Linked DNA regions of Stegostoma tigrinum. Each later gene encodes a partner of the first gene's protein in a complex. Links are inferred from orthologs where the notes say so. Each region holds a gene or a part of one and is shown in the gene's direction. Other genes may lie near its edges.

The links.
Region 2: the proteins of egln1a (region 1) and hif1aa are in contact, whole or in part, in a crystal structure (PDB 3HQR), measured with the Homo sapiens proteins. The link is inferred for Stegostoma tigrinum from reciprocal best matches to the Homo sapiens genes EGLN1 and HIF1A. Residues at the interface, in NP_071334.1 of Homo sapiens: Gln239, Leu240, Val241, Ser242, Gln243, Lys244, Ile251, Arg252, Trp258, Lys262, Asp277, Ile280, Arg281, Ile292, Asn293, Gly294, Arg295, Thr296, Lys297, Tyr310, Val311, Arg312, His313, Val314, Asp315, Pro317, Asn318, Asp320, Arg322, Arg370; in NP_001521.1 of Homo sapiens: Leu559, Glu560, Met561, Leu562, Ala563, Pro564, Tyr565, Ile566, Pro567, Met568, Asp570, Asp571, Phe572, Gln573, Leu574.
Region 3: the proteins of egln1a (region 1) and epas1b are in contact, whole or in part, in a crystal structure (PDB 7Q5X), measured with the Homo sapiens proteins. The link is inferred for Stegostoma tigrinum from reciprocal best matches to the Homo sapiens genes EGLN1 and EPAS1. Residues at the interface, in NP_071334.1 of Homo sapiens: Gln239, Leu240, Val241, Ser242, Lys244, Ile251, Arg252, Trp258, Asp277, Ile280, Arg281, Ile292, Asn293, Gly294, Arg295, Thr296, Lys297, Tyr310, Val311, Arg312, His313, Val314, Asp315, Pro317, Asn318, Asp320, Arg322, Arg370, Trp389, Tyr390; in NP_001421.2 of Homo sapiens: Asp525, Leu526, Glu527, Thr528, Leu529, Ala530, Pro531, Tyr532, Ile533, Pro534, Met535, Asp536, Gly537, Glu538, Asp539, Phe540, Gln541, Leu542.

What each region holds. Positions count from the first base shown.
Region 1 is NC_081357.1:97,148,596-97,159,086, reverse strand, and holds the start of egln1a (prolyl hydroxylase EGLN3), read left to right. Parts: upstream 1-6,509; 5' UTR 6,510-6,989; coding exon 6,990-7,709; intron 7,710-10,491. UniProt on the Homo sapiens protein: Cellular oxygen sensor that catalyzes, under normoxic conditions, the post-translational formation of 4-hydroxyproline in hypoxia-inducible factor (HIF) alpha proteins.
Region 2 is NC_081363.1:29,393,228-29,402,853, reverse strand, and holds the start of hif1aa (hypoxia inducible factor 1 subunit alpha a), read left to right. Parts: upstream 1-5,776; coding exon 5,777-6,002; intron 6,003-9,626.
Region 3 is NC_081362.1:68,837,555-68,847,360, reverse strand, and holds the start of epas1b (endothelial PAS domain-containing protein 1b), read left to right. Parts: upstream 1-5,250; 5' UTR 5,251-5,635; coding exon 5,636-5,661; intron 5,662-9,806.

The sequences.
Region 1 (10,491 bases):
GGCTGTGCACTCTTGTGCAGCTCCTCAACTTCTCTTGGGATTTCCTCCACTGCCTCAACTAATCCCATTGGTTTAGCCTCTTTTACCCCATCCTTTTTCCCAGCACTTTCCTTAAACCTTATGTGCCCCACTCCACTACAGTGAAAACACCTGAGACCTTTCACCTTCTTTTTACCCTCTTGGGTTTCTTTTTTCACCTGTGGTAAACTATTCCCAGTATGATCCATTTTTTGTTATTCATTGATGGATCTCCCTTATTCTCAACTTCTATCCCTCTCAGAATTAAACTACTGTTGGAAGCCAAATTTCAATTTATGCATGTTCATCTGCCATCTCATCTCAGCAGCTCTTCTCTCAGTTTGAACTTTCTGTTCCTCAACATGAGTTCTTATCATTTCTGGAAGTGAGTTTTTTAAATTCCTCCAGCAGAACAACTTCTCTAAGACCCTAAAGTATCTTTTCTATCTTTTAATGCTCTCACACATCTATCAAAATTGCTACATGTAATTCTTTCAAGCTCGACATAAGTTTGACCTGTTTCCTTTCTTATATTTCCGAAGTGTTGTCTATATACTTCTGGTACTAATTCGTAGGCACTCAAAATAGCCCTTTTTGACTCCTTCATAGCCTCCTGACACGTCCTCTGGCAGTGCTGCAAACACTTCACTAGCCCTGCCTACCAACTTGGTCTGAATTAACATTATACACACAGTCGCTGACCTATTTATCTGCCTGGCCAATTTCTAAAAGGAAATAAAAAAAGCTTCTACATCATTTTCATCAAACATTGGTAATCATTGGGCATGTTTACATATATCCCTTCCAGACTGTTGGCTACGATAAGTTTGTTCATCCTCACTTCTATCTTGTACTTTTCCTTCTGCCATTAGAAATCTTTTTGCTTCTAGTTCCAGTTTTATCTTTTCCAACTCAAACATTCTTCTCCTTTCTTCCTTTCCCCCTCACTTTCTTTTTCCCTCTTTTCTCTCTCTCTTTTTCCCCCTCTCTCTTTTTGGTTTTCTTTGGCTAGTAATCTTTGCATGAGAAAAGGAAAGCATGCAAGCAAAGAATTCTAGGTGTTACAGAGAAAGAGAAGTTAAATGAAAGAAAATCCCTGATATTCATTTCATAAGTAACCAGTAACAATTTATTTTCTAACCCTAACAGTTAACAAATCAACAGAACTACTAACAAACCGAACAATTTCACCTAACTCCTAGCTCTTCCCCCACTGAACAAAATTCTACTGGTATACTATTCCAATAACACAAGTCCCACCTATATAACCCATGTAATTAAAGCAACTTAGTCTCTCAAAGTCCGCACAGACTATGTCTTCTGGAATGCTCTGCCTTCTCCACCATCTCTCCAGTCATGAATGCCTGTCTTCTGCTGTTCTCAAGTCATAAATGCCTTTCTTCCACTGATCCTGCTGTCAGAGATGTTTTGTCTGTGAATCGTTCCAAGAGGACTTTTAGCTAGAAGTGCCATGCTAGTTTTTTTGGATAAATGGCATTTTCTTTTACAAAGAGCTTAGAGATTTCTGTGAGAGTTTTCTGTTTATTTCTCAGATGATAGTCTTCTCTCACCTGAATTTGAAAACCCTCTTCTCATATATCTTGGATGACACATCAATATTCATACAATGGCATTGGCCCAAGGTTGTCAAAACCATCAGATTTAAATTTAATAGGTTTTCAATTGCTCAGTGCTTAGTTTAAATTAATTGGCTGTTTCAAGCTAGTTGCCAGAACATCAAAACAAGCTGAAGGTTTCCAAACACAGTGCCAATTGATATGATTCAACTTCAGAAATGTCTGTACATCTTCAGCTACTTACAGACTTTTATTTCTGTGTAAATCTCTAAGCTTAGAAAAGCATTTTATCTCTTAAGAGAACCATGCACCATTTCTTCCGGTCATTTTTACAAACAAATTCTAAATTTTTGTGTTCTATTTCATGAGTACTTTATGCAACTTTGTGACATAGGTAATCCAAGATGAAGGATTGAAAAAAAAGTGACTGTACAAGCTGCTCCTTTCTTGAGCTATTTTCAGTGTTGAAGCTGATTTCCCTAAATGTTTAGAGCAGTAATTACTGTGTTATAAGCTGTTGCATTGTTTTGGAACTTTGGGAAAAAGAGATCAAAACAACAGCACTTTATAAAAGGAGGAAGAGAGAGAGAGAGCAGATACCACATGGGATATGTCATAATGAGCAGTAAACCTGCACAGCTGTGTGACCCAGCATTAAATCTGAATAGCTGACTGCTTTTGCTGTTTTGTAACAAGACCTCTAGACTTTGGAGTTTGTTTGAAGAAAAATAAACAAACAGTGAAATTCACAGCTGACATTGGAGAAACCTGCATGGGGAGCTCACAGCAGAAGAGCAGCTAAGTGGCTTATGTTTTGACATCTGCATTGGTTAGGCCACTTTTGGATTTCTACATTAATTCTGGTCTCCCTGTTACAGGAAGGATATTGTGAAACTTGAAAGGGCTCAGAAAATATTTACAAAAATGTTGCCAGGGTTGAAGGGTTTGAGCTGTATGGAGAGCCCAAAAGGCTGGAAAATTGAGGCTGAGGGGTGACCTTATAGAAGTTTTTAAAATCATGATGGGCATAGATAGGGTGAATAGCCATTGTCTTTTCCCTGGGATAGCAGTGTCCAAAACTAGAAGGCATAGGTTTAAGGTGAGAGGAAAGATTTAAAAAGGACCTAATTGGCAAATTTTTCATACAGAGGGTGGTGTGCGTATGGAATGAATTGCCAGAGGAAGTGGTGGAGGCTGGTTCAATTACAACATAGCCTCTGGATGGCTATATGAATAGGTAGGGGTTTGGAGAGATATGGGCCAAATGCTGGCAAATGGGATTATATTAACTTCGGATATCTGGTCAGCATGGATGGGTTGGACTGAAGTTTCACAGCTCTATGACTCCACGCAGGCAAATATAAGTAATTTATTTAGGAGGGCTACTGGTACTATCTTTAGCCTTTTGCTCTGGCCACAAAGGGACTTAAGGGTACTTGTGCATGAAACACAGAAAGATAGCATACAGGTGTAGTGGATAATCAGTAAGGCTAATGGAATGTTGGCCTTTATTTCAAGGGGCTTGGATTATTGGAATAGGGAAGACTTTCTGAAACCTTACAACATGCTGATAAGACTATATCTGGGGTACTGTGAGACGTTTTGGTCTCCATATTTATGGAAAAATGTCATCTCATTGTCGGCAATTCAGAGAAGGTTTACTAGGATGCTCTCTGGTACGGAAGGATTGTCTTATGGTCAAATGTTAAACTGGGAGCTCTACTCAATGGAATTTATATGAATGAGACATGATCTCATTGAAACAGGTAGGATTTTTAAGAGCCTTGACAGGTGGCACACAGGGCAGTGGCCCCTGTCGCCTGAAAGTGGTGGTGCTTGGACCCGACAGCATGCAGTAGTTAGAAGATGTTCCGGTGTATGGTGGAATCCTGTCTACGCGCACCTCAGCTCAGTCACATTTCACATTAGCCCCAGGGTCCTAACCATCTCTCAGGAGTCTGTACCTCTCAACCTGAGGTGACTTTTGGGAATGCGTTCCATGTACTTTTGTCTCATGTAGAGTTGCTTTTTTGTACAGCCTGCTGCAGCACACCATTCACTTTGACTCCTTTGTCCTCTGCCTGGACATGTCTTAGATCCCGAGTGGAGAGCTCCTTATGTCAGTGCCCTCTCCTGTTCCATTGGGGTCCTGGAGTGGAGGATGTTGCAGGCAAACAGTCCCATGCAACTACAGATTGCGGAAATTCATGGACTTTCAGCCTGTTTATTTGCCATGCTGTGGTATATATGAATCATATATATATATTAGTTGTGGGCATTTGCATTCCCTTTTATTTATTTGAAAAATCTTTTGTTATGTTATTGGTTGCACATCAACTCCATGCCCCTGATCTTTAGGCATCTGGTATGGAGGGATGTGGGCAAGTCAGAGGACCTTGTCATGGACCCACTCCTGGACCTGGCCTAGCTAGCTATTAACGGGTCCAGATAGTGGATTGCAGAAGGGATTTTCTGCTGACTGCCTGCTCCTCTCATGTAGCTACATTTGTGTCCGGGTGTCCTTGGAGAGGGAGCATGTGGTGTCCACCAATACTCTTAATGCTTTTAGAGAGGTGGGCACCACTAGATGTAGAGTACATTCTTTCCACCTCCAATCCTTCCCACTCTCTCTAACCTTCTGATAGTTTACATTTCCTGTAAATATTTAATTGGCCACGTGTGATTTACTGGTAGTGGTTAGAGGTTAAAAATAAAGTCACGGTGATTTGGTGATAGGTAAAAAATACACAACCATGGAAAGTCTAAGACCAGAGGGTTTTTAGTCTCAGATTAAAGATTAGATTTAGATTTATTGTCACACGTATATGAAAATACAGTGGAGCGTGTTTTTCATGTGCTACATGCAAAGTCATCACTGTAGAAGTGCAGTGTAATTTGAAATGCTGAATATAACATAAGATTTTACAGCAAAAGAATTCATCTTTCTCTTTTGTTCTTGTTTTTCCTCTGCTGCTCCTCCAGTTGCTGCTTGATATCTACCAGGTCTCTGAAATGGGCTCCAGGATCCCTCTAACAGTCTCCGGGGTCTCAGTTACAGGCCTCTGCCACTGCAACTCCCATGACCTCTGCATCTGAGTTGGAGCCACAGGCCTGGGGGTGCATGGGTTCTGTACTTACTACTCCTCCAGCGTGGCCATTGTCTGTCCATTTGCCAATGCTTCCACTCGTTTCATGACCTGGACCTAGCTGCGGCCCTGAAACCTTAGCTCAGCCTGTGATTCTGGGCCAAGGCAGTCAGTCCAGGACCTGTTTTTTGCTTGCTGAGTGACCCCGGGCTGGGATGGAGCCATGTCTGGCTCGTCCTGGCATTGCTGCTGGTGGCCTCTTTCTTCACCTTCGTCACTCTCAAGTCTTTAAAGAACATGAAGAGAAAAGAAAAAGGAACAAGAGAAAAAACAAAAAGAGAAAGAAAGCAGATGGTAACAGACGAGTCCCAGGCTCAGCCCTGTACTCCACCACCATCTTGAAAATAAATGGGACACATTTAAGACTGAAATGGTTTCTTCCCTCAGAATCAAATTCAAAAGTCGCTGGAAAATCTTAGCAGGTCTGGCAGCATCTGTGAAGGAAAAATCAAGAGTTAACTTTTTGAGTCAGAACTCTCAGAAGGTTGTGTCTTTGGAACTCCTTGCCACAGAGAGATGTGGGACCAGAGTCCTCACGTATATTTAAGGCTGAGATAGATTCTTGATCAGTAAGGAAATCGAGTGTTATGGGATAAAGGTAGGAAAGTGGACGTCAGGAATGTTGGTTCAGCCGTGACCCTATTGAATGGTACAGCAGGTTCAAGGGACCCATTGGCCTACTTCTGTTCCTATTTATTTATGGTCTAAATATGCCATAGCACACATTCATCATTTTCGAGCTCAAACAGAAAGAAATTGCTGGGGAAAGTTCATCAGGTGTGGCAGCATCTTTAGGAGAAAGAGATTACGAGAGAGGTTCAGTGGGAGAGACATCCACTGAGGTTTTTCCAGAGGGAGGAGGGTAACTTCTTCAGGGTAGGCATCCTTAGAAGTTGCATTGGTGGTTCAGTGGTATAATTCTGGCCTGCCATGTGGGAGGCCTGGGTTTGATTTCCAGCAATAAATGGCAGCATCTTTCCTCTTTTTTGTCATCATTTTCTATGCCAGTTTTAACCCACAGCAACTATTATCTCAGGTTTTCAACGATACAAATGACAGATTAGACTTAATATATGACTGTTTTTTATTACTACAGGGTCACTTTTGATTGACATAAGAATACAATGGATTAGTTTGAATCATTTTGTGTTGTCTTTTTCCAGTCTTGTTTATTTTTGTCATGTGATTTGTTCCTCATTTATAAACCTCTATACGGTACTACAGTATATGTTCAAAACAGTTTATTAAAAAAACAGAAACAAAGCTCTGTGGTAGAGTGGAGGACTGGTTAAACAGGATTGTAACGTTTCATCGGTGGCCTTTAGTCAAGTTCTGATGAATGTCTCTGATCTGAAACTTGTAACTGTTTTGCTGATCCGCAGAACGTTGCCTGACGGATTGGCTCTTTCCAGCATTTCCCACTAACGGCAACACTGACTTTAAGGGATGACAACTGAACAAGAAACAGAAATCGCACACACAGATATCGTACCGGACGAATATAAAGGGGTGCTAGAAGAGAGTGAACAAGATGCACCGCCGGAACTCGGATTTCCAAAAAAAATGGAAGGAGCCGGCGAGATCAGGATAAAACGATGTCCACTGAATAAACAAGCAGCCAGGGTACTGCGGTGATTGCGATCCAGCTGCCGCGGCAGTGCATGTCGAAGTGGAATGCAAGGTTTCGATTTGGGGTATTTAACGAAGTGACGAAAACCAGTGGCTCCGCCTGTCCTATACTGGAGGCGAACCGAGCAAGACATAGAAAGAGGGAGGAATTGAAAGTGAGGACGTAACATAAGATGGACATGTTTCAGCTGATGATGGATCAGTGTGAGAAAGCCCGCAAAGAGTTTCTGGTGCAAGCATTAGACACTAAAACAGGAGCAGGAGACGGGAGGGGGAGAAATCAAATTCGATACCTTTCACGCATACGCCCACCTGCTGGAAATCTCGCTAACGCGAAGAGTGCGCGAGACCTCAGCGGTTAGCATTTGAATCCTGCTCGCGGGCGGAGGTGGTTCGTCGTGCACGCGCAAGCGCGGGCAAGGTGGGGGGGGGCGGAGGGAAGAAAGTCAGTTTCATTACTGTTGGAGGACATTTGCTCTTCTTTCCATCATCCCTTTTCGATCCTCGTCTTAATTCCCCCCCCCCTTCCTCTCCCTCCATCCATTGCTATTGAATTTACCTAGGTTTACCCCCCTACTTCTCCTTTTCCCCCCACCCCACCCCCTTCCCCGTCCCGGACATGGCTAGCGAGAGTAGTCCGACGCATGAATCTCCGCCACTGCCGCCGACCGTAGAGCAGGATCAGAGCTGTGGCCTATGCGGCAAAATGGAGAAATTATTGCTCTGCGGGGGCTGCAAAAGATCGTTCTACTGCAGCAAAGAGCACCAGAAAATGGACTGGAAAAAACACAAGCAGGTCTGTAAAGAGGCGGCGAGACGACAGGGCGACGACACGCGAAATGCTTCGGCGAACAGTAACCACCATCCGCCGCTGCCGAAGCCCCTGTCACCAGCTTCGGTCAACGGACAGCCGGCGGAGAAGAATGAAGAGGCGACAACGGCTTCCCATCTGGTACCCGGGGCTGGCATCAGTAGCCGGAGTCACCGGGGCCAGCACGGATTGAGCGGCGGCAGCTCCCAGAAACTGGTGCAGGAGTACATCGTGCCATGTATGAGCAAGCACGGCATCTGCGTGGTGGACAACTTCCTGGGAGAGGAGATGGGCGACAGTGTGCTGAGGGAGGTAAAGGAACTGCGCCGGAGCGGCCGGTTCACCGATGGCCAGGTGGTCAATCAGAGAGGGGACTCATCGAGAGACATCCGGGGTGACCAGATCACCTGGATGGATGGGAAGGAGTCCGGTTGTACGCAGATTGGGCTCTTAATGAACAGCATGGACGATCTGATCAGGCACTGCAACGGGAAACTCGGCAGTTATAATATTAACGGCAGGACGAAAGTGAGTACGCCAAAGTTCGGGTTTATGGTCTAATTTTATCCTTTATATTCAATGAAACTTGTAGCATGACTCTTGTATCCCGCAGTAATATCGCCAATACTGTCGCCATTCATTTTTTCCCTGTCTTTCACTTTTTCTTTTAAAAATAATTTATTAATTAATTACGAATGCCCTTGACATATGGCGTTTCTGCAGTTTAGCCAAATTAATGTTTCTACCGTGAGGCTAGCCATTCTTGATATTTTGTATTCGCGATATACAGGTGTTAGTTTTCTTAAACGCTTACCTCCTTTAGGAACTTTGATTTGTACAACTCGACCTCCCAGTGTAAAGTATATTTAAATTCAGAGTTTGCTGCCCGCATATTATAGGAGTTGGTTGTAGAACATAAGTTGTAATCTTCTACCCTGGTTGCAATCTGACATTCAGTTGTTGACATCAATGCCACCTGGCACCCTGAGGTGAATCTCTGACCTCATCCTCTCCATTGTTTGAATGCCAACTTGCACCACTTTCACATTGCTCAGTTTAATTTCTGCCTCTTCCATCTACTTTTGAAATTCATTCACACATTGTCCCTTCACAATTATAGAACATTACAGCACAGTACAGGCCCTTCGGCCCTCGATGTTGTGCTGACCTGTCATACCGATCTGAAGCCCACCTAACCTACAACTCCCCCTGAGGTTGGAGTGGTCTTGTGGCCACTTTCAGAGAGCTATGGATATGAACCCCAAGATCCCTCTGTACATCTATGCTGTTCCAGGGTTCTGCTGTTTCCTAAATATATGATCTCCCAAAATGCAGCACCTCACACTTACCTGAATTAAACTCCATCTGCCAATTTTCCCTGCTATATCTGCTACTGATCTATATCTCACTGTAACAATTTATTAACTAATTTACGTATTTGATGCTTTGGAGCCAATCTTAAAATTTAAGAACCATGGAACTAGCCATTCTTGGTATAATCTATGCAAGATGTTTGTTTTTATGTGCCAGCCTCTGTCATTGTTACAACACCCCTTCAAGTGTGAGGTATGCTTAAATTCAGGAATCATTGCACAAATACTTTAGAAGTTGGTTGTACAACAGAACTTCTAATTCTTTTTCAAATGGATTTCATCACTGTTAGTTATTATCTTCTACAACTCAGTTTTGGAGAGACAATGGCTCAGTGGTGTTAATGTTTGGCTATTAAACCAGGGAGCCAGGAAACGTTCTGGGGACCTGTTTGAATCCTGCCATGACATTTTGAAGGGATTTGAATTAAACTAAAGCTGAAATTGAGTCTAATGAGGATTGTGTAACTGTTATCTATTGTTGGAAAAACCTATCTGGTTCACTGCCCTTTTTGGGAAGGAAACTGCCCTCATTGTCTGACCTACATGTAACTTTGACCCACTGCAATGTAGTTGACTCACAACTGCCCTTTGGGCAACTAGGGATGGCCAGTAAATGCTGGCTTAGCCAAGAATACAATTAAATGACTTAAGAAAAATAATTACTCCTTTGGAAGACTTCACATTCTCCATCTTCCATAAGCTTCAATTAATCCAAAACTGATTCTAATACTGCACAGGCTTTGCTCAGCCTTTGTCGCAATGGCTCCATTTTGTGACAGCATTGCATTTTGATCCCTTCATTCCCTTGTTGTTCTGATGTAAATGTTCTTCTCCAACTCTGATTTTTGCTTAGTTCAGTGGTTATCGTCATCTTTCTCGGCCTCCATCTATGGGATGAAGAGGTCAGGTGATATTAGGTTGAAAAATAATGCTTCAAGCCTCATTCTTTTTAAATGATTCATAATTCTGTGGGAGTTGCAGAGAGATAGAAAGAGTGCCACTTTAGCTCGAGAAACAAACCAGTTGGAAGCGTGAGGATTGTTAAGAGGAATGATACCTAGCAATGTTGTAAAATGTCTAAATGTGCTTGAATCTTATTGGAACACTTGTTTCCACAGTTTGGTATCCTGAGAATGAACACTTGTGACTGGCATTGTAGATAGTGTTCCTTACTTAGGGATTGACTGAAAAAACAATATCTGTCGTGCACAAAAAAGTGTATACTTTCTGGCTTAAACCTACAGTGCTAATCTACAGAATGCCTTATCCAAAAAGTATGTGCAATTTATGTAGAAATTATTTGGTTTTTAATATTTTTATAATCAGTTGTTAATATCTTTTTTCAAAGAACTCTGAGTTATATTCAGTAAAGCCGTTCAGTACAAAATGTACTTTTGCAGTATCTGTGGTAGTTGATAAGCATAAATAATTCAGTTGTCCACCATGCGTTGACCTGGTCATGTAGATTCTTTTGTGCATTCCATTGTACACTGAATGTAGTGCTGAGATAAGAGAATAAATGTTATATTCTTCATTTCAACCAGCTTGTAAACTCTTACGGATGGATAGTTGACATCTGCTAATGTTAACACATGGTGCAGAATTGGAAACACATTTTAACTTGGCTAAGTTTGTACAATATTCAGGTACTCAACTGTTTACTGACTTGCTGTAAATAAAAGCAAAATGCAGTGGATGCTGGAAATATGAAATTTAAAAAAAAATGCAACTCCAGCTCTGGCAGCTTCTGGGGAGAGAGAAACAGACAACAATTTGACTCTGTTATGACTCTGTCACTTCTGTACTGAAATGTATTTTAAGTGGAGGACAGGAGAGATTAAATAATAGTGTCATTATGCAAAGCCAAAGAAGTTTTAGTATTCGAATAAGTAAACAAATAAAAAATGTAGTTGGAGAGGTGTGAATGGCAGATCATG
Region 2 (9,626 bases), on another chromosome or scaffold:
TTTTAAAAAAAACCTTCCATCTACTGACTCCATCTGGACTTCCCACTTCTTCACAGCAGCCAACATAATAAAAAAAAACACCTCCCACCTTGGTTATATTCTATCCCACACCCTTCCTTTGTGCAGAAGATCCAAAAGTTTGAAAATATGTACCAACAGATTTAAAAACAGCTTCTTTCCTGTTGTTATCAGATTTATGAATGGAACGCTCCATATATTAGAGTTGATTTTTCTCTGCACCTTCTCTGTAGCTGTAACACTATATTCTGCATTCTGTTGCATTACCTGATGTACATAAGGTGTGATCTGTCCAGTTAGCATATAAAACAATACTTTTCACTGTATGTGGGTACATATGACAATAAATCAATCAAATAAAACACCCTGTTCAGCATACTTGATTTAAGGAATCATGCATTGTAATTTCATAACTAACAGTTGTTGAATTAATTTATCTGACTAAGAGAAATTGCAACATAAATGAGGTTGATGTATTCTAGTGGCAGTTAGCAAATTTTAAATATTAACAAGATTTACCTTCCCCTGACATCAAGCCTGAACTTAAAAAATTTTGATCCATTAATCCCTTAATATAAAGTAATCTTTAAGAGATCCATGTCTTACTGTACAGGTCACCTATCAATTTTGTGTCAAGCAGTTTGCTCTAAATATCAAACATACAGAGGAGAAGTCATCAGTGACGCAAAAAAGGTATGAACAGAGACTAGTACCTAATATTAAGGGATATCTAAAGCTTCTAGAAGCCTATAAACTGTAAAGAGACCAGAAAGGAAACCTGCTTGTGGAGCCAGAGTATTAACGAATACTATGCACATATCTTCAGTTAGACTGGTTGAAGAAGCTGTTCTTTTTCATGATGTTTGAAAGCATATTTGTTAGTATCATTCAAAATTATCACTTAAAGTGGTTTCCATTGGCAAAAGGGTCAAGAGCCAGAGATCTCAACGTGAGGTGTTTGACAAAAGACCCAACTGCAACATGAAAGTGTTTTTGTGCAGCGGGTGGTTGGGAACTTCAGGTGCACTGCCTACGTTTGTGGTAGAAGATACATTCTTAGCTGTCTAAAGTAAATCCGATAAGCACCTGGAGCTACGAGCAGGACGATGGACATTTATACTAGAAGTATAAATTTGGAAATGAATAGATCGATTAAAGTAATGAGCAAAAGATCATGTAAGAAAAAATGTCGCTTTCTGTGTCAATTTGAACACACAAATTTTGAGAACTGGACCAACAGTTTTCACTACCCTTTAAATATATCCAGGCTTGGGCTGATGTGAGGCAGGAATGTTATTTCCCATCTGACTGTCAGATATTGGCCATCTCTCCATGATATTTAATGGCATTACCAATGCCAAATTTGCCATTCAACATCCTGCAGGTTACCACTGATCAGAAACTGAACTGGATCAGCCATATGAATCAGTAGCCACAACGACACGAAAGAGCTACTTCCTCCGTCTCACCCTTGTCCATTCACCAACTGCAGAATAAAAGTTGCAGTTTTGGAAAGTGCTGTCAAAGTAGCCTTTAGAAGATGCTGAACTGCAACTTGTAGGTAGTACACACTGCTGTCAGTGCTGGAGAGTAAATATTTCAGGTGGTCGAACTGGTGTCAAACACCTCACCTGTTTTGACCTGAGTGGTAGCAAAGTTTGAATGCTGTTAAGTCCACCAATGACATTTTTTTTTTTCACAAAAACTCCGCGGTAGATTTCAACAAAATTTGGTAGAGAGAGAGAGTTCACTGGCCAAGGAGACACATTTTTAAATTTTGTTTGTTGATTTGAGCATCCATAGCTAGGACTGTTTTTATTGCCTCTGTCTAATAGCCCTGGAACAGAGTGCCTTGCAACTTGACTCAATTTAGCTTGGAAAAAATAGCATTGATGTAGATCTGGTGTCATGTGTAAGCCAGATGACACACATCCTTCTGAAAAGAAGTTTGTGTTTACAACCATCAACATGGTCACCATTTTGTCATCCGCTTTGTAGAACACCTACACTCAGTTCACAGTAAACAACTGCACCTCCCAGTCGCGAACCATTTCAACTCCCCTTCCCATTCCTTAGTCTACATGTCCATCCTGGGCCTCCTGCAGTGCCATAATGATGCCACTCGTAGGTTGCAGGAACAGCAACTCATATTCTCATAACTCACTTATAAGAAGGATGTGGAAGCTTTGGAAAGGGTGCAGGGGAGATTTACTAGGATGTTGCCTGGTACGGAGGGAAGGTCTTACGAGGAAAGGCTGAGGGACTTGAGGCTGTTTTCGTTAGAAGAAGGTTGAGAGGTGACTTAATTGAGACATATAAAATAATCAGAGGGTTAGATAGGGTGGATAGGGAGAGCCTTTTTCCTAGGATGGTGACAGCGAGCACGAGGGGGCATAGCTTTAAATTGAGGGGTGAAAGATATGGGACAGATGTCAGAGGTAGTTTATTTACTCAGAGTAGTAAGGAAATGGAACGCTTTGCCTGCAACGGTAGTAGATTCGCCAACTTTAGGTACATTTAAGTCGTCGTTGGACAAGCATATGGACGTACATGGAATAGTGTAGGTTAGATGGGCTTGAGATCGGTATGACAGGTCGGCACAACATCGAGGGCCAAAGGGCTCGTACTGTGCTGTAATGTTCTATGTTCTATGTTCCTCTTGGAAACCCTGCAGCCCAATGGTATCAATGTGGATTTCACCAGCTTCAAAATCTCCCCTCCCCCCACTGCATCCCAAAACCAGCCCTGCCTGCCTAACCTGTTCTTCCTCTCACCTATCCCCTCCTCCCACCTCAAGCCACACCTCCACTTTCTACCTACTAACCTCATCCTGCTCCCTTGACCTGTCCGTCCTCCCCGGATTGACTTATCCCCTCCCTACCTCCCCACCCATACTCTCCTCTCCACTTATCTTCTTTTCTCTCCATCTTCGGTCTGCCTCCCCCTCTCTCCCTATTTATTTCAGAATCCTCTCCCCATCCCCCTTTTCTGATGAAGGGTCTTGGCCCGGAACGTCAGCTTTTGTGCTCCTCAGATGCTGCTTGGCCTGCTGTGTTCATCCAGCCCCACACTTTGTTATGGTCACCATTTAACACAGCTATTTTTAATTCCAGGTTTATTGAGCTCAAATTTCACCATCTGCCACAGTAAGATTTTGAACGTGAGTTCCCAGATCATTAGATTGGAATAGTAATCCAAATAATAATAAGCTCCAGTGACATTAGCACTTTGCCACCAACTCACTTAGATGAGTTTTTTGGCAAAGATGCAGGTTCAGATCACAGATATTTTTTGGGCGTTTTGTAAACTTCGGGACATTGGGCAATTTCTAAATCAATCCACATTGTTCTTTTAAAAGAAGTTGTGCAGTGTAAGCACAGCTTTCAAGGTAGGTTGTTTAATACAGATTGCCCTACCAGTTAGGGAGCCTGGGACTTGAGAGAGTGCAATCTAAAAGTTGTGTTAAGTCAGTGAAGTCAACTTCTATGCAAGGTAGTAGAAGTTTGCAACTTGTATGAAAATTCATGCTAGATTACATGGATTAAGGTTGCCAATTTTGTTAGCCAAAGATAATGAGGGGTATTGGGCAAAGGCAGGGAATGGAGATGTGCTGCAGGTCATCTGTGATCTCATTAAATTATGGAACAGGCTGAAAGAGCGCATTTGTTTAATTCTGTTCTTAAGAATCTGCAGCAAATATAGATTATTCTACAGGAGAATTTTATTTGATGTTACTTCATTGCTTTAAAAAAATGTTACTGGTACACGTTAAATAAGCTATGGATTATTTTCAAAGTAACTCAGTTTTGTGACCCGGAAACCTTTGATCGGAAAGAAAAATAGTAAAGGAAACCTAAAGATACTCTGGTGTTGCAGCATTTCAAGAGAGGAAAACAATGTTAACATTTGAGATCTGAAACTTTGTATGTAATGCTCTCCTTACACTCTCTCCTTTGTGTTGCTCCAACTTTGCCTTTGTTTCTTTTAAGATTGAATAGTGCAAATATTGTAATAATGTTACAATCTAACTGTATAATTGAAATGTTAGTCTGGTATTCAGAAAGTATCCAGCTGTTCAAGTTAGGCAGGTGGCTCAGTATGCAATATTGATGATCTGCTTTTCGAATACCACTATAATTGTTGCAGTTGTTTTTCACAATAATAACCATAAACCGAGTACATGATTGAGGTTTTTCAAAAAAGGTTTTCATTTGGGATTGATATTTTTAAAACTTTTCATTTTAGCTGCTTTTCAGTATGTTTGATCTCACAAAAGAAATATTGTTTTGGTTTTGTTACAGTGTCATCTAGTGGTGAGTGTGGGTATTAAGGATTGCAATTGTCACAGCAATATCCTTAGCCTTGTCTTACCCCCGGCTCCTCGAACCACATGGATTTTGGCATGCCTTTATTTAGGCTACTGGAAATTGAATGTAAAATCTCGGTTAAGAAGAGGCCTTTAGCACTATGTAGCGCTAAACCCTGGGGAATCTAAATTTGTTAATGTGATCACTTTTTTCAGTTGAAATAAAAATCAAAGTTTACTTACTGAATTTAAACTATTAGAATACATGACTACATCTTTTTTTAAATTCATAATTGAGTTCATTTTTTTGACGAGCAGTGCAAAGACAGGAAGATCACCGGCCTGGTCAATTGTTGATTAATTGGTTGGGCTCTCTGAACTTGGGATGGCAGAAATCAGCTCAGGCTCTGTCTCCCGCTGTCTTTCCAGTGAACTTAGGGAAGTGTGTGTATTTGTACCTTTGAAACAGGTCATAAGTATTTTGGCAAATTAATGGGTTGGGTCCATTGGCAAGGATGAAATGTATCCACATGGATATAGGTTGAGTGTCTACATTCTCTCTCTCAGCTAAAACAATAGGCTCTAGCCCAAAGGCGTACTTGGAAGAAGCTGTCTTACTGACCTGGAAGGACTGGCTGACTGCTGAGCCACAATAATTGATGGACTTTGCTGAGGGTAACTACATACCTTTTAATCACTTGATTTTGTTTCATTGACTGCCGTAGGAGATAGAAAATTTTCAAATAATGGTTTTTCTTAACAAGGAGTTGCTTATTGATCTGAGAGATGAGTGTTGTAAAATGGGAAAAATTAGGAAAACATTCAATAGTTCAATTGACAATAGATTTTCAGGCTAATCCCAATCCCTGAATCTGACAGTTTTGACTTCAATGACTGAAGTTCTGTTATAAATAACAGTATGGTACCACGAACAGCTTTCTTCTGTATTTGCCTTCTGCGAGTAAAATAAAAATGAAGTATTTAATCAAATATTTGTCTGTCTGTTTATCTTTTCTTTCATATTGTATTAGATTGTATATTCCAAAAGTTGAATAACCATTTCAGTTCAGAGTACTATTCGGAGTTAAGATTCTTAACAGTGTTTCATGGGCAATCTCTAAAGTTTAAGACTTTACTTGTTAAAGATGCTGCATCAAAACGGTCAAGTCTTAGGAGCTCATTTATGTTACTCTGTTTTGAAGATTTATCTTTGTGGAGTCGTCAAGCAATACGCAATGCAGCCAATCTGAAGTTTATTTAAACACATCACTGTATTTTTTTTTGCCCTCTGCAAAATGTTAAGGTTTGGTATTTTTCCTGTTACTTCCTAAGCAGGGTTTGAGGTTGTTTTGTGCCTTGTGTGATTATTGGCAGTATTTGCCATATGTTCCCTGTTCTGGAATTGAATTTAAGGTGCACGTGAAGCTATTTGTTGCATTCTTGTTAGCTGACATGGCTTCTTACAGTTCTACTTTGAATACCAGCAGTGGTAGTTCCGAGAGAAGAAAGGAGAAGTCTCGTGATGCTGCGAGATTCCGAAGGGGCAAAGAGTCGGAGGTCTTCTATGAACTGGCTCGTGAACTCCCTCTTCCTCACAGTGTCACTTCTCATCTCGATAAAGCGTCTATCATGAGGCTAACTATCAGCTACTTGCGCATGAGAAAATTGCTTAATGCTGGTGAGTAATTTGTAGTAATTTAAAGTAGGTAGCATTTTTATATAAGTGACTAACAATTTAAACTAATTTACTGGCTGTGAAGCACTTTGGAATGTTCTGAGGACGTTTGAAAGATGAAGTATAAATACACAGCAATTTCTTTGTGCCCAAACTCTAATAGCTTTAGAACATTTACGTAGCTTTTCCATAAGTTGCCACAGATTTATTTTGCACCCAACATGGAAGGAAAGATTTGGCATGCCGTTTGTTAATTTTTTTTTGCTTCATAGGTCTCATTTCACTGAAACTGTGCCTCTGTACTAGCTACTTATTTCCAAACACGACATCATTTTATTTTATGCTAAGTGGAGAAATGCTGCAAATGTTTACAGTATTATTGGCTGGATTGTGGGACAGTGCTGATAATGAAGCTATTAGTCGCCGTTGCCTTCATTCCACTGAACTATGGAAATCCCAAAAGTTTCTGAGATTCTTTTCTAAAGGCCGTGTTGTTGAAACACCCCTCCTCCTCCTCACTACACAATAATGGGAATTACTTGAACTAACGAACATTTCCAGTTTTGCATTGTGCATCTTACTGTCAAAAACCCACAAAAATGTTATACCCTATGGCTACTCAAACTCTCTCATTGCTCCTGAGAAATAAAAAAATTGACATTCTAGACAAAAATTTAAGTAATAGCTATTTCATTTATATTTTTTCTTCCGGCTAACAGTTAAAATGAGTACAAATAAATACAACTTTGTTTTAACTGGCAAAATTCACAAATACTGTACTGAGATCTACTGTGATATGAGTATTTATGCTGTAAATAAATTATACCAGTGATGTAAACGTCCCCATCTTCACATTTCTCTGACTTAGCATGCATTTTTACATGGATTTTAGGAGGTGTGGTGATGTTTTGGTAGGCTTTTTTGAGGGATATTGATACTGGAACCTTTGCTTGGCCAGAATTTACTGCAGTTGTGTGCATGTCATGATTATCCAGAATATTTTATCACCCGACACTTGCCTAGTCCTATGGGTGCCACCTAACTAAAAGGTTTGCTGTATAAACAGTCAGTCATCTCAATATTTGAAAATTTAAAAGCATTGGAGATTGTATTTGCATGGGAATACTCAATCCCTTTGGTTGCTTACATGCTTGCTTACATCTCTGATACTGTAGATGAAGATATCCTATTTTTAAATCGTTGTCAGGAAAAGCAACAACCATACCAAAGATTTGCTGCATATTTGGAGTGGGATGGGTAGTGCAACTTGAGGTAAAGTGGCCTGAAGTGCTGCTGACTACCTAATTGAGGCCAATGTATCTGGTATTTTTTTAATATGCATTATAGTTTCAAATGTAATTGGATGCTTTCAGAATAAAGTTGTTGCTGAATCTTGATTCTATAAACAATTTTAAAATAACATACCCTATCTAAATACTTTAAGTGCAAGTTGTTCTGATTAATTATTATCATGTCTTAAACATTCAGGGTTTTTCATGTAGGTGGATGACAAAATGGCTACCATACCCAAGTAAACTAAACCTTGGTTAATGACTGTTGTTTTCAAAAGATGTAGCAGGGCTTAGAGATGGAATTCCATGAGTCTGTGGGTGGAGAGGTGAGGTCAGGTGTTTAAGGCACAGCGACCACTGGTGGGGGTGAAGAGAATGAGGGATGCATCAAACGATAGAGACCCTAGTTTAGGCCAATTCTGACCAGTTAGGATCAATAATGTTTGAATGGTATGTTGGCCTTCATTGCAAGAGATTTTTCAGTACAGGAACAGGTGTGTTGTTGCAGTTATTCAGGTCTTGGTGAAGCCACACTCAGAATATTGTGTGCAGTTTTGGTCTCCTTTTGAGGAAGGATGCTTTTACACTCGAGGGAGTGCAGCGAAGGTTTACCAGGTTGATTCCAAGAATGGTGTGTCTGATGTATGAGGAAAGATTGACTAGGTTGGGATTGTTTTTGCTGGAATTCAGACGAACGAGGTGAGGACATGGTAGATGTTCCCAATGACGGATTTGTCCAGAACTGGGGTCACCATCTGAGGATTCAGGATAGACCATTTAGGACAGAGATGAGGAGACAGTTCTTCACTCAAAGAGCGGTGAGCCTGTGGAATTAAAATAGTTGATGCCAAAACACTGAACGTATTCAAGAAGCAACGAGAGATAGCACTTGGGGCAAATGGGATCAAGTGTTACGGGGAGAAAGCAGAATTAGGCTGTTGAGTTGGACGAACAGCCATGATTGTGAAAAATGGCAGAGCAGGCTCAAGGGGCCAAATGGTCACCTCCTGCTCCTATGTTCTGTGTTTCTCTCCCTGACTTATGATTTTGGATCGCAGTTGTACTGTTACTTACTGTGATACAGGTGTACAATATATTACTGTTTATGAATTTTTAAAATTGAGGCTGATGTGATTTTGGTTTTGGTTAAAATGTTTCTTAAATAGACGTCCGAAAGTCATTGGAAAAGACACGAAGATGTAATTTTCAAGAACGCATGTAACTAAGTGCCTAACTAGATACCTGAGAGTTAATTAAAGTGTTTACAAAGTGGAGTCTTTTTTTTCTAAAGGGCGTTTAGGTAGGGCTTGTTGTTTTGAGTTCTGTTCAGAATCTGGCTTTAGTTCAGGAAACGAATTCTGTCTTAGAAGAATTTTCACATGCGAAGGTTCCAACCTGTAAGAATTCATGTATGAGTTTTCACACAGTCAGAACTGAAAGATGTTTGGGCTAACAGGGCTGGAAAGAAGCCTCTTGGCCATCCAAACTGGAAAAAGTTAAGTTTGACATGGAGGTGTCTGTTGGACTGGGGTGGACAAGGTCAGAAGTCACATGGCAGCAGGTTATTGTCCAACTGGTTTAATTGAAATCACAACTTTTTGGAGCACGACTCCTTTGTAAGGTGAAATGATGAGAAGCACACAGGCACAGAATTTATAGGCAGAGAAATCAAAAGATCATACAAATGGTGTGAGTGGTGTGTTGAGAAGCTCAATAGTATGTCTCTACAGGTGATCAAAAGTGTCAGACAATGTGAGTATAGTGTCAACAATTGAACAGCAAGTGAAGGGATGACTGATAATCCCTTTTATTGAGGCAGAGAGATAATTAGATAAGTTTAAAATGAGTTGATGCTGGAGACTTTCCAAATGGCTGGAATAACATGATCGGTAGAAGAGTCATATGCCAAGGGTCTAACCAAATTAACAAGTAGTCCAAAACTGTACAAACAATAGAGAGATCATAACTTGTTATCAAGGTGATGATATTACAAATACAGAATAGGATGGTGGGGTTACATGTAAGGCAGCATGAACCCAAGATCACAGTTGAGGCAGTCTTCATGAGTACGGAATTTGGCTATTGGTTTTTGCACTGTGATTCTATATTGTTATATATCGCGAAGGCTACCCTGGAGGATGCTTACCTGAATATCTTTTGACTGCTGAAGAGTTCCCCAACTGGGATGGAATGTTCCTGTTTGGTGATTGTTACGCAGTGTTCATTCATCTGTTGTCATACTGTCTGCATGTTCTTGCCAATATACCATGCGTCAGGGTCTCCTTGCCTGCAGTATATGAGGTAGATAACATTGGCAGCGTCACACGAGCATCTG
Region 3 (9,806 bases), on another chromosome or scaffold:
AGATGCTGGAGAATCGGTGATAACAAGGTGTAGAGCTGGGTGAACACAGCAGGCCAAGCTGCATCAAAGGAGCAGGAAAGCTGATGTTTTGGGTCGAGACCCTTCCGCAGAAATGGGGAAGGGGAAGGGAATTCAGAAATAAATAGGGAGAGAGGGGAAGGCAGATAGAAGACGGATAAAGGAGAAGATAGGTGGAGAGGAGACAGACAGGTCAAAGAGGTGGGGTTGAAGCCAGTGAAGGTGAATGTAGTTGGGCAGTCAGGGAAGGGATTGGTCAGTCCAGGAAGGATGAACAGTCAAGGAGACGGGATGAGATTAATTGGTAGGACATGGGGGTGGGGCTTGAGGTGGGAGGAATGGTTAGGGAGGCAGGAAAGAGCTGGCCTGGTTTTGGGATGTGGTCGGGGGAGGGGAGGTTTTGAAGCTTGTGAAGTCCACATTGATACCCTTGGGCTGCACGGCTCCCAAGCGAAATTTGAGATGCTGCTCTTGCAGCTTTCGGGTGGCATCATTGTGGCAATGCAGGAGGCCCAGAATGGACATGTCATCCAAGGAGTGGGAAGGGGAGTTGAAATGGTTCATGACTGCGACATGGAGTTGCTTGTTGTGAACCGAGCATAGATGTTCCGCAAAGCAGTTCCCAAGCACCTGCTTGGTTTCCCCAATGTAGAAGAGGTCACGACGGGAACAATGTATGCAGTATACCACATTAGCAGACAGGCGGGTGAGCATCTGTTTGAAGTGAAAGGTCTTTTTAGGGCCTGGGATGGGGGTGAGAGGGGAGGTGTAGGGGCAGGTGTAGCACTTCCTGCGGTTACAGGGAAAAGTGTTGGGGGTGTTGGGGCTGGAGGGGAGTATGGAGCGGACAAGGGAGTCATGGAGGGAGTGGTCCCTCCGGAAAACAGATAAGGGTGGGGAGGGAAAAATGTCTCATGTACCACCCCAACAACCTTCGAATCCAATGCATCATCCTTCGACACTGCCGTCATCTGCAATCTGACCCCACCACAAGACAATTTTCCCTCCCCACCTTTATCTGCTTTCTGGAGGGACCACTCTCTCCGGGACTCCCTTGTCCACTCCACACTCCCCTGCAGCCCCACCACACCCGGCACATTCCCCTGCAACCACAGGAAGTGCTACACCTGCCCCTACCCCTCCACTCTCAGCCCCAACCCAGGCCCTAAGTAGACCTTCCACATCAAACAGATGTTCACCTGCACATTTGCTAATGTGGCATACTATATCCGCTGTTCCTGTTGTGGCCTCTTCTACATTGGAGAAACCAAGTGACGGCTTGGGGACTGCTTTGCAGAACACCTATGCTCAGTTTGCAAAAAACAACTGCATTTCCCAGTCACGAACCATTTCAACTCCCCCTCCCACTCCTTGGATGACATGTCCATTCTGGGCCTCCTGCAGTGCCACAACAATGCCACCCGAAAGCTGCAGGAACAGCATCTCATTTTTCGCTTGACTGCCCTACAGCCCAAGGGCATCAATGTGGACTTCACAAGCTTCAAAATCTCCCCTCCCCCGACCGCATCCCAAAACAAGCCCAGCTTCAAAATCTCCCCTTCCCCCACCGCATCCCTAAACCAGCCCAGTTCATCCCCTCCCCCCACTGCACCACACAACCAGCCCAGCTCTTCCCCTCCACCCACTGCATCCCAAAACCAGTCCAACCTGTCGCTGCCTCCCTAACCTGTTCTTCCTCTCACCCATCCCTTCCTCCCACCCCAAGCCGCACCTCCATCTCCTACCTACTAACCTCATCCCAACTCCTTGACCTGTCTGTCTTCCCTGGACTGACCTATCCCCTCCCTACCTCCCCACCTATAATCTCCTCTCCACCTATCTTCTTTTCTCTCCATCTTCGGTCCGCCTCCCCCTCTCTTCCTATTTATTCCAGAATCCTCACCCCATCCCCCTCTCTGATGAAGGGTCTAGGCCCGAAACGTCAGCTTTTGTGCTCCTGAGATGCTGCTGGGCCTGCTGTGTTCATCCAGCCTCACATTTTATTATCTTAGATTCTCCAGCATCTGCAGTTGCCATTATCACCAGCTCATTCCTGCCTCCCTAACCTGTCCTTCCACGTCAATCTCCACCCCCATCTCCTACCCAGTAACCTCATCGCACCTCCTTGACCTGTCTGTCCTCTCTGGACCAACATATCCCCTCCCTAACTCCCCACCTACATTCACCTTTACTGGCTCCAACCCCACCTCTTTGACCTGTCTGTCTCCTCTACACCTATCCTCTCCTTTATCCATCTTCTATCCGCCACCCCCTCTCTCCCTGTTTATTTCAGAATCCCCTTCCCCTCCCCCATTTCTGAAGAAGGGTCTCGACCTGAAACACCAGCTTTCCTGCTCCTCTGATGCTGCTTTGCCAGCTGTGTTCATGCAGCTCTACACCTAGTTAGCTAAGTGAATAAACCTGACTTGTTTTCAGCACTAAACTCTGGTCTCTGCGTCTGAGAAATGATTGAGTCCTTGGCTTGCTTCAGCTTGTTACCCTGAGACACATGCTACAGCGAGGTCTGATGATCCAAGGAATACAAGTGTTTCCCAATACCTGAATGTATTTAGGCCATGAATATGTGAACGTTATTCACAAATACATGCATTTAAATGAAGAATTAAACTTTTCCTCAACATGCAGGAAGCAATTGTAACCTTGCAGTCAATGCTTTTAAAGGCCTAACTTCATGGTGGTATAGTTAATTCCTTTAATGTTCTTCTCCACACCTAAACTCTATGAAACATTTTCTGGGAATCCTTTAATTCCTGACACTAGTTTTCTTTCCACTATCCATATTGAGGAATCCTATAATTGAACTAAATCTTCACCTTACTGCAACTTGGGAAATAATTCTCAGTCGCTCATCTAAAAATAGCAGTATAACTGCAGCCATAACTTTGTCCTAGAAGCTATTAATAGATGATAAATCAAGATTTATATTATTAAAATTCCCATGATATATGAAGGGATTTCCCAGCTCTTAACTGTTTACTGGAACATTTTTTCCCAGAACTTCAATATTACAGCAGATCATTCAACAGTTACAATACAGATCCTCATTCAAATATTTTTACATACCCTTTCAGGGAGACTCAGTACATCTTTAACTGTTACACTTAATGCCCTTTGTTCTGAAGCACTTTAGTAGCTATCTGGGGAGAACCCAAAACCTTACAGAACAGGCCAAACTCAAAATGTGCCAATCTGCAGTCCTCACTATCCTCCATGAGGCACTGGCTCAAGTGTCCTAAACAGCCAACATGTACATCTTCCAGAGCACTTCGAACAGTGTTGCCTTCATGATATCCTCAGATCCATTAGCAGGACTGTATCAGAAACACTGAAATCCTGGAGACAGCCAGCATCACCAGAATTGAGGCTATCCTTCTGCAAAACCAACTTTGCATTGGTCATGTTGCCTGGATGGACAACAATTGATGGCATAAAATTAGGTTGTACAGAAAGCTATCCATTGTAGCAGGAACAGAAGGGCCCACTTACAACCATTTCTAGTACTGCGTGGGGAAGTCACAATCTATTTATCACACTGACTATTGCTAGTGGGTGGAGTGGGTCATAGATTGTGATGCCTAGACTTGCTTCATCAGGAATGCTACAGCCACCTTTGGAACTGAGCGTAGAATTACCAGGAAAGAGATAAAGAATAGATCCAATTGTCCCCAACAGTGACTACACATTCATTTGCATCTGTGTGGGAGAATTTGCTGGTCACAGATGAGACTGACGCCACCAGCGAATCTGTATCCAATGGATAGTCTTTCCTCACGAAAAATTGCCAAGCGACAGTGGACCTTTGTAAATCGGTCTCGGACTGCAAGTGCTTTGAACCTGAGTGGAAAACAATTCCAACGCAGAATACTTTCTAAAAATATTTCAAACGGATCTCAGAGCAAAGTTTTGGGAAGTAAAAACCGAAAGAAATACAGATGCTGTAAATCAGAAACAAGAACAGAGGTTGCTGGAAAATCTCAGCAGATCTCGCAGCATCTGTGCAGATAAAATCAGGGTTAACGTTTCGGGTCCGATGACCCTTGCCCAAACTCGGACCCGAAATATTAACGCCGATTTTCTCTTCACAGGTGCTGCCAGACCAGCTGAGCTTTTCCAGCAACTTCTGTTTTTGTTTCAAATATTTGATAAGCCTCTCTCTGGTGTAGGAAATATTCAGAGCAGTAGAATAAACCAGGTTGAATTTTGCTGAAATGAAAACCGAAGTATGTTTAGTTTGAAGACTACTAGGTATGTTTTGTTTATCAATTCCAACGCCACCGTTTTCATACTTATTGTGCTGGGAATAAAGTCTTTCAGTTATGTGGTTGGAGAAGTTGGGTTGATCTCCTTGGACAAAAGGTTGAGAGCACATTTGATAGAAATGCTGAAGATCATAAGTGATTAGAAATTACTGGCCAGAAAGGATAAAGAAAGAGGATACTGATTTAAGACAAATGACAATAAGGTCCAAAGTGACGTGAGGGCAATAATTTTTAATTCGCCAATTGGTGAGGACCTGGAATGCACGTCGAGAAATGTGATGAGGACAGATTTCGTTGGGGAATTAGATAAGCAGCTGAGGAGACGGAAGCAATGCAGGGGCAGTGGGGAGGAGCGGGGGCAGGAAGAAAGTGGAGCTGTTGTAGTAGGTTTGACAGAGGTCTAGCACGGAACCCACGGGCCGAATGGCTCTCTGCTGTGCTGTAACCAATCTTCAATTATATAGTATTTAAATACTGATTCTGCGCTGGTGATATTTTTTAAGGAGCACCGATGGGAAATATCTAGGGAGTTCTCTTAACTAGTGTGTTTAGAAAACGTTATCAATTGAGTGAGATCCTCATGAGATGAAGAAGCAACTGGAATCCATCCGAGGACCATGTTGTTTGGCAATTTTTTTATTCCCTTGTCTAGTTTACGTGTAGTCAGGCAATTTCGTCACTAGTATTTCTTTCCAAGGAAATCTTTTAACAGATAAGAACTTGTGAACAAAAAAAATTATGTAACAAGGATGGGTGCTCCTACCCCGTCCGCTCCCAACTGTTCCGGCAGAGAGAGTGGGGAAAAAAGCCCCAAAATGACCCAGATCGATGGGCGGGGCGGGGCCCGGCCGCAACCTATCGCATGTCGAAAATCCATTTACGACCTGTCATCTGGCCCAAGAAGGACGAGAGAGAGAGAGAAACCCCGCCTTCAGCCGAAGCTTGAACCTCCCGCCCCAGTACGAGAGTCTAACAGCGAAACTTTTTCTCCTGCCTGTCCTCTTTATAATTGGTCTTTGCCTCGAAGTGGCTGTACAATCCTCAGCAGTGTTCTGAGACTGTACGGTCGCCTCTCGTTTCCGGGTTGCTTCATGATCTCAACTGTTTGACCCAACTAGGCATTTAAAAAAAAAGAAACCCACATGAAGAGATAAGCGAGAGAGACTGACAAAGCAAAGAAAAAAAAGCTTCGTGAGCAAGGCAGAGAAAGTGGAAACAAAAAAAATCAAATTATGCTTCTTTCTATCCGTATTACACTGTAAAATTGAGCCTCCGGTTGTCAACAGCGCTTCTCGGTCTGTTTTTCTTTTGCTTCTGTGAACTTAATCGTCCAAACCATGACAGCAGAGAAGGAGAAGAAAAGGTAAGAAATGACATTGCATTTGTTCTGATGAAGTTAGCAATAATTTATTTCTGATAAGGTGCGGGCTGATTTTGTCCATATCATTAAAAAGTTCTTGAGGGACTGGACTCCACACCTCCGACATTCGGCGTAAGCTGACAGGAGACGGGAATAGACGAAATGATCAATAATTAACCGTTCTCCTTGTTTTTGATTGGGGCGCTCGGGCTGCGTTCTGAAGTGTTGACAGCTTGCCTGTCTCTCGGAGGCTATCAGCTGCTACCTGCCTGTAGACAGACCTGGCTCTGAGGGCCAGCAATGTTGGCAATACGTCCCTCAAAGCCTTCCCCAAGGGCAAAACCCAGAAGGGAAAAGTTGGCTCAAACTGAGCGAGTGGGCCTGCGCTGTTTAAATAGTGACCTATTGATCGATCAATGTTCTCCTTCACCTGTTTACATTGCCACTGCTGCGCAGTGTATCATCAACAGGCAGGCGAGGCCTGGCCGACAGACTAGAGGGGGCAACTCTGTGGTCGGGCATGTCATCTCCCCGATGGAGAACTCGTACCGAACAGCAACTTTATCGAGGTTATGAAGCTTTTGCTCCCGACTACTATGGTACATTTGCGGCTGCACTAAAAAAAAACCGACATTTCCCCTCCTTCCTCTCTTTCGAGAGAACCTTTGCATTTCGACAGAACACGGAATTTTACAGCAGGACTTTTATAATATAACGGTGTGTTGTTATTTGCAAGGAGAATAATACCCTCAGAAACTAGTCAGCCTGCAAATGGCTATTGCATTCATCTCCAAATGACTAGAGGTCGGCTGGAATTGAGTGTGACAACGCGCCCTGAACGACAGAAGCATCAGACAAGCCTCTGTACAGCCCACATCTGCTGAAGGTTCAACATTGGATAAAAGCAAAAACACAGACATGCAAAACAAAGGATGCATAGATTGCATCCAACACCCCCTCTCCCCAACCCCCGCTCGTGTCCTGGGCATTTGGAGAGAGCTGCTGGTTGCACCTAAGGAGTGACGTTGGGACAATTTGTTGGAGTTGGTGGCTCTGGGTAGTTTTGCTGAGTGAAATGGCGTCCCTGAGGTAGAAAGGACTCACATTGTCAAGGTGCGGCTAGCTACTGTTAATACTTGAGCGATTTCAACAGCAGCTTTACCGTCAGTGTGTGGGTGAAAGGCAGGGTCTGTCCTGAGGCTGGGTTAGAATCAGAAACAGATTAAATGCCAGTTGAAGTTAGACGTAAGCAGAATGTCGAATATGGTACTCTTAATTAAGGAGTTTGCCTGTCCAGAATTACTACTTCGTCGTGAGGGCGGAATCAGGAATGAGATTCACTGTTTGTGATGGCAGTTGACCTTAACCCAGTCCATGCAAGCCCAGTTGGTAGTTAGGAAGGCAAATGCAATGTTACCATTGAAGTGGGTTAGAATACAAGAGTAAAGATGTACTATTGAAGCTGTGCAAGGCTCTGGTCAGACTGCGTTTGGAATATTGTGAGCAGTTTTACTCCCCATACCTAATGAAGGATGTGCTGGTGGTTGAGGGGGTCGAGATGAGATTTACAAGAATCATTCCTGGGGATGAAGGTCTTGTCTTATGAGGAGCAGTTGATGTTTCTGGGTCTTTACATCATGGAGTTTAAAAGGATGGGGGTGGGGTGGGTGGGAACTTGGAGGGGGGATCGCTTATTGAAATTTACAGAATATTGAGAGGCCTGCATAGAATGAACGTGGAGAAGATATTTTCAGGAGTAGAAGAGAGTAGAAACCGAGAGCACAACCGCAGGGGATAGGCCTAAAGAGAAAACCTTTTAGAACTGAGATGAGTAGGAATTTCTTCAGACGAGAGGGTGGTGAATTTGTGGAACTCATTGTCACCAAAGGTTGTGGTGCTGAGTCATTGAGTGTATTTATGACAGCCATAGATAGTAAAGGGATCAAGGAAGGAAGACAGGAGAATGGGAACCAGAAACATATCTGCCGTGATCGAATGGTGAACCAGACTCACTTGGCAGACTGGCCTAATTCTGCTCCTATATCGAATGATCCTCGTCTTATAATGTGTTGACTATACCCCATTTACTAAGCATATCACAACGTTTTGAGGATACAATTTAAAACGGAAATTGGAACAATCATAATGAGAAATTACCTGACAAACGTATGCATTTGAAGAAGCTTCGCTATCCGTAATCTGGGTTGGAAAGCCTCTAAATATTGGGGAGCTGTGTTGCTGGGGTTTGGGTCGTGCCAATCTATTCCAAATAGATAAACCATGAGGAGCGCAATATGTCAACACATTTCTGATAACGCTGGTGTGCTGTTGATGTTTACTGAGTTATAGTCATATGTACAAGGCAACTTTTGTTTAGCCAATAGGCTTTTATTTATTTGACAGTTGCTGTTAGATTTTGCGTTATGAATTGAAAGGCTGTAAAGACTGACTTGTGTCCTCTGCGCATTCCTGACGAAATTCATATGTTCTCAGAGACTGGACAGTCCCGCTTCCAACATTATTTGTAAACGCTTCAATAAAACTGATTTCGAGTCGTGGCGGATTTTTTTTTAACAGGTCAGGACTAGTTTTGGCGTTCACAGAAGAGGGAGAGAGAGAGCAAACGAAACTTTCTCACACTGAGCAGGGACTGTGACTTTTTAGTTTGTTATCCTTTTCTGTTCGATGAGGGCTAATGCTTTCAGTGGCTTGGACAGCAGGTGGTTTATGTTTTGTTCTGTTTTATGCCGGGAAGACCGAACTCCGCAGTTACCTTTAAAGACGGCTGGTTCAGTGCAAGTTACAACACGTTATAACGCCGACATGAGTGATAGGACGATTGTAAGTGAATGTGTTGGGGCCGCTTAGCTCCGATGGTTCCGAGTGTGACAAAGAGTGATGACCGCGGCGTGGGTTCGCTCCCTGAATCGGCGCTTGTGTAGGGAGCCTCTCAAACCCTTATCCAACTCATTCAGTCTCTCTAATTGATAACGAAGACTGGCTAATGTGTCTCAGAGCAAACGGGCCTCAATGCCGGCGTTCAATACGAAGCATCCCCTTGAGAGATTTAAACCTAATTTGTGTTTACTTTCTGTTCAAAATAACTACAGAAATACCACGTCCTGCTTTTTTACATGTAGGAATCCAGAACAAAGTTAGCTAGCAGCAGGAACGCTTTTGGGGCGCTTTCTGACCATGATTCTGACTTTAAAAATCGATTTGAGTAATGAATATATGCAATCTGCAGGTTGTTTCCTTTGTAACACTTTCTACAGAACGCCCTTTGCTGACTCCTGCACACTTGACAACAGCCAAAAAATGGGTTTAAAGTCCAGCTTCATTATGTTTCCAGTCTTGAAAGTAAAGACACTACAGGTCCATTCTGACGTCCCCAAACTCCCCCACACCCCCCAACTCCCACTGACCCGGTGGGGTTCAGTGGACTGTGGGGTGACTAGAATGGTGTTTATTTTGCCTATCCCATGTAAAGGTGCCAAGTTGGAGCGCGTACACCTTACTGAAGTTTTATTATTTTACCACATACCTAACCTGCCACCATAGATGCACCAGAGATAATGGGAACTGCAGATGCTGGAGATTCCGAGATAATAAAATGTAAGGCTGGATGAACACAGCAGGCCAAGCAGTATCTCAGGAGCACAATCAGAGATGAAGGGTCTAGGCCCGAAACGTCAGCTTTTGTGCTCCTGAGATGCTGCTTGGCCTGCTGTGTTCATCCAGCCTTACATTTTATTACCATAGATGCACGTGTATGTTTGTCAATTTTTTTTAAAAAAAATTGAATTATTATCGTCACATGTACATAGGTACAATGAAAAGTTTCGTTTTGCGTGCAGTGCAGGCAGATCAAAGCATACAAGATGTATAAGGGTAATAAAACAGAACGATGAATAAAATGTTACGGCTGCAGAGAAGGTGCATGCAAATATTAGCAAGTTTGCAATTGGGCAGAGAAGGTGCATGCAAATATTAGCAAGTTTGCAATTGGTAATTTGTGCATGAAGACAGGGACAGTCCAGCGTCTAGTCGTCCCTGGAGTGAGATCCACCGTCACTCCTGACCCGTTTAGTTCCAGCTTGAAGCTCGCTATTCCTATGAGCCTGATCAATTCTTTCTCAATATCCTTG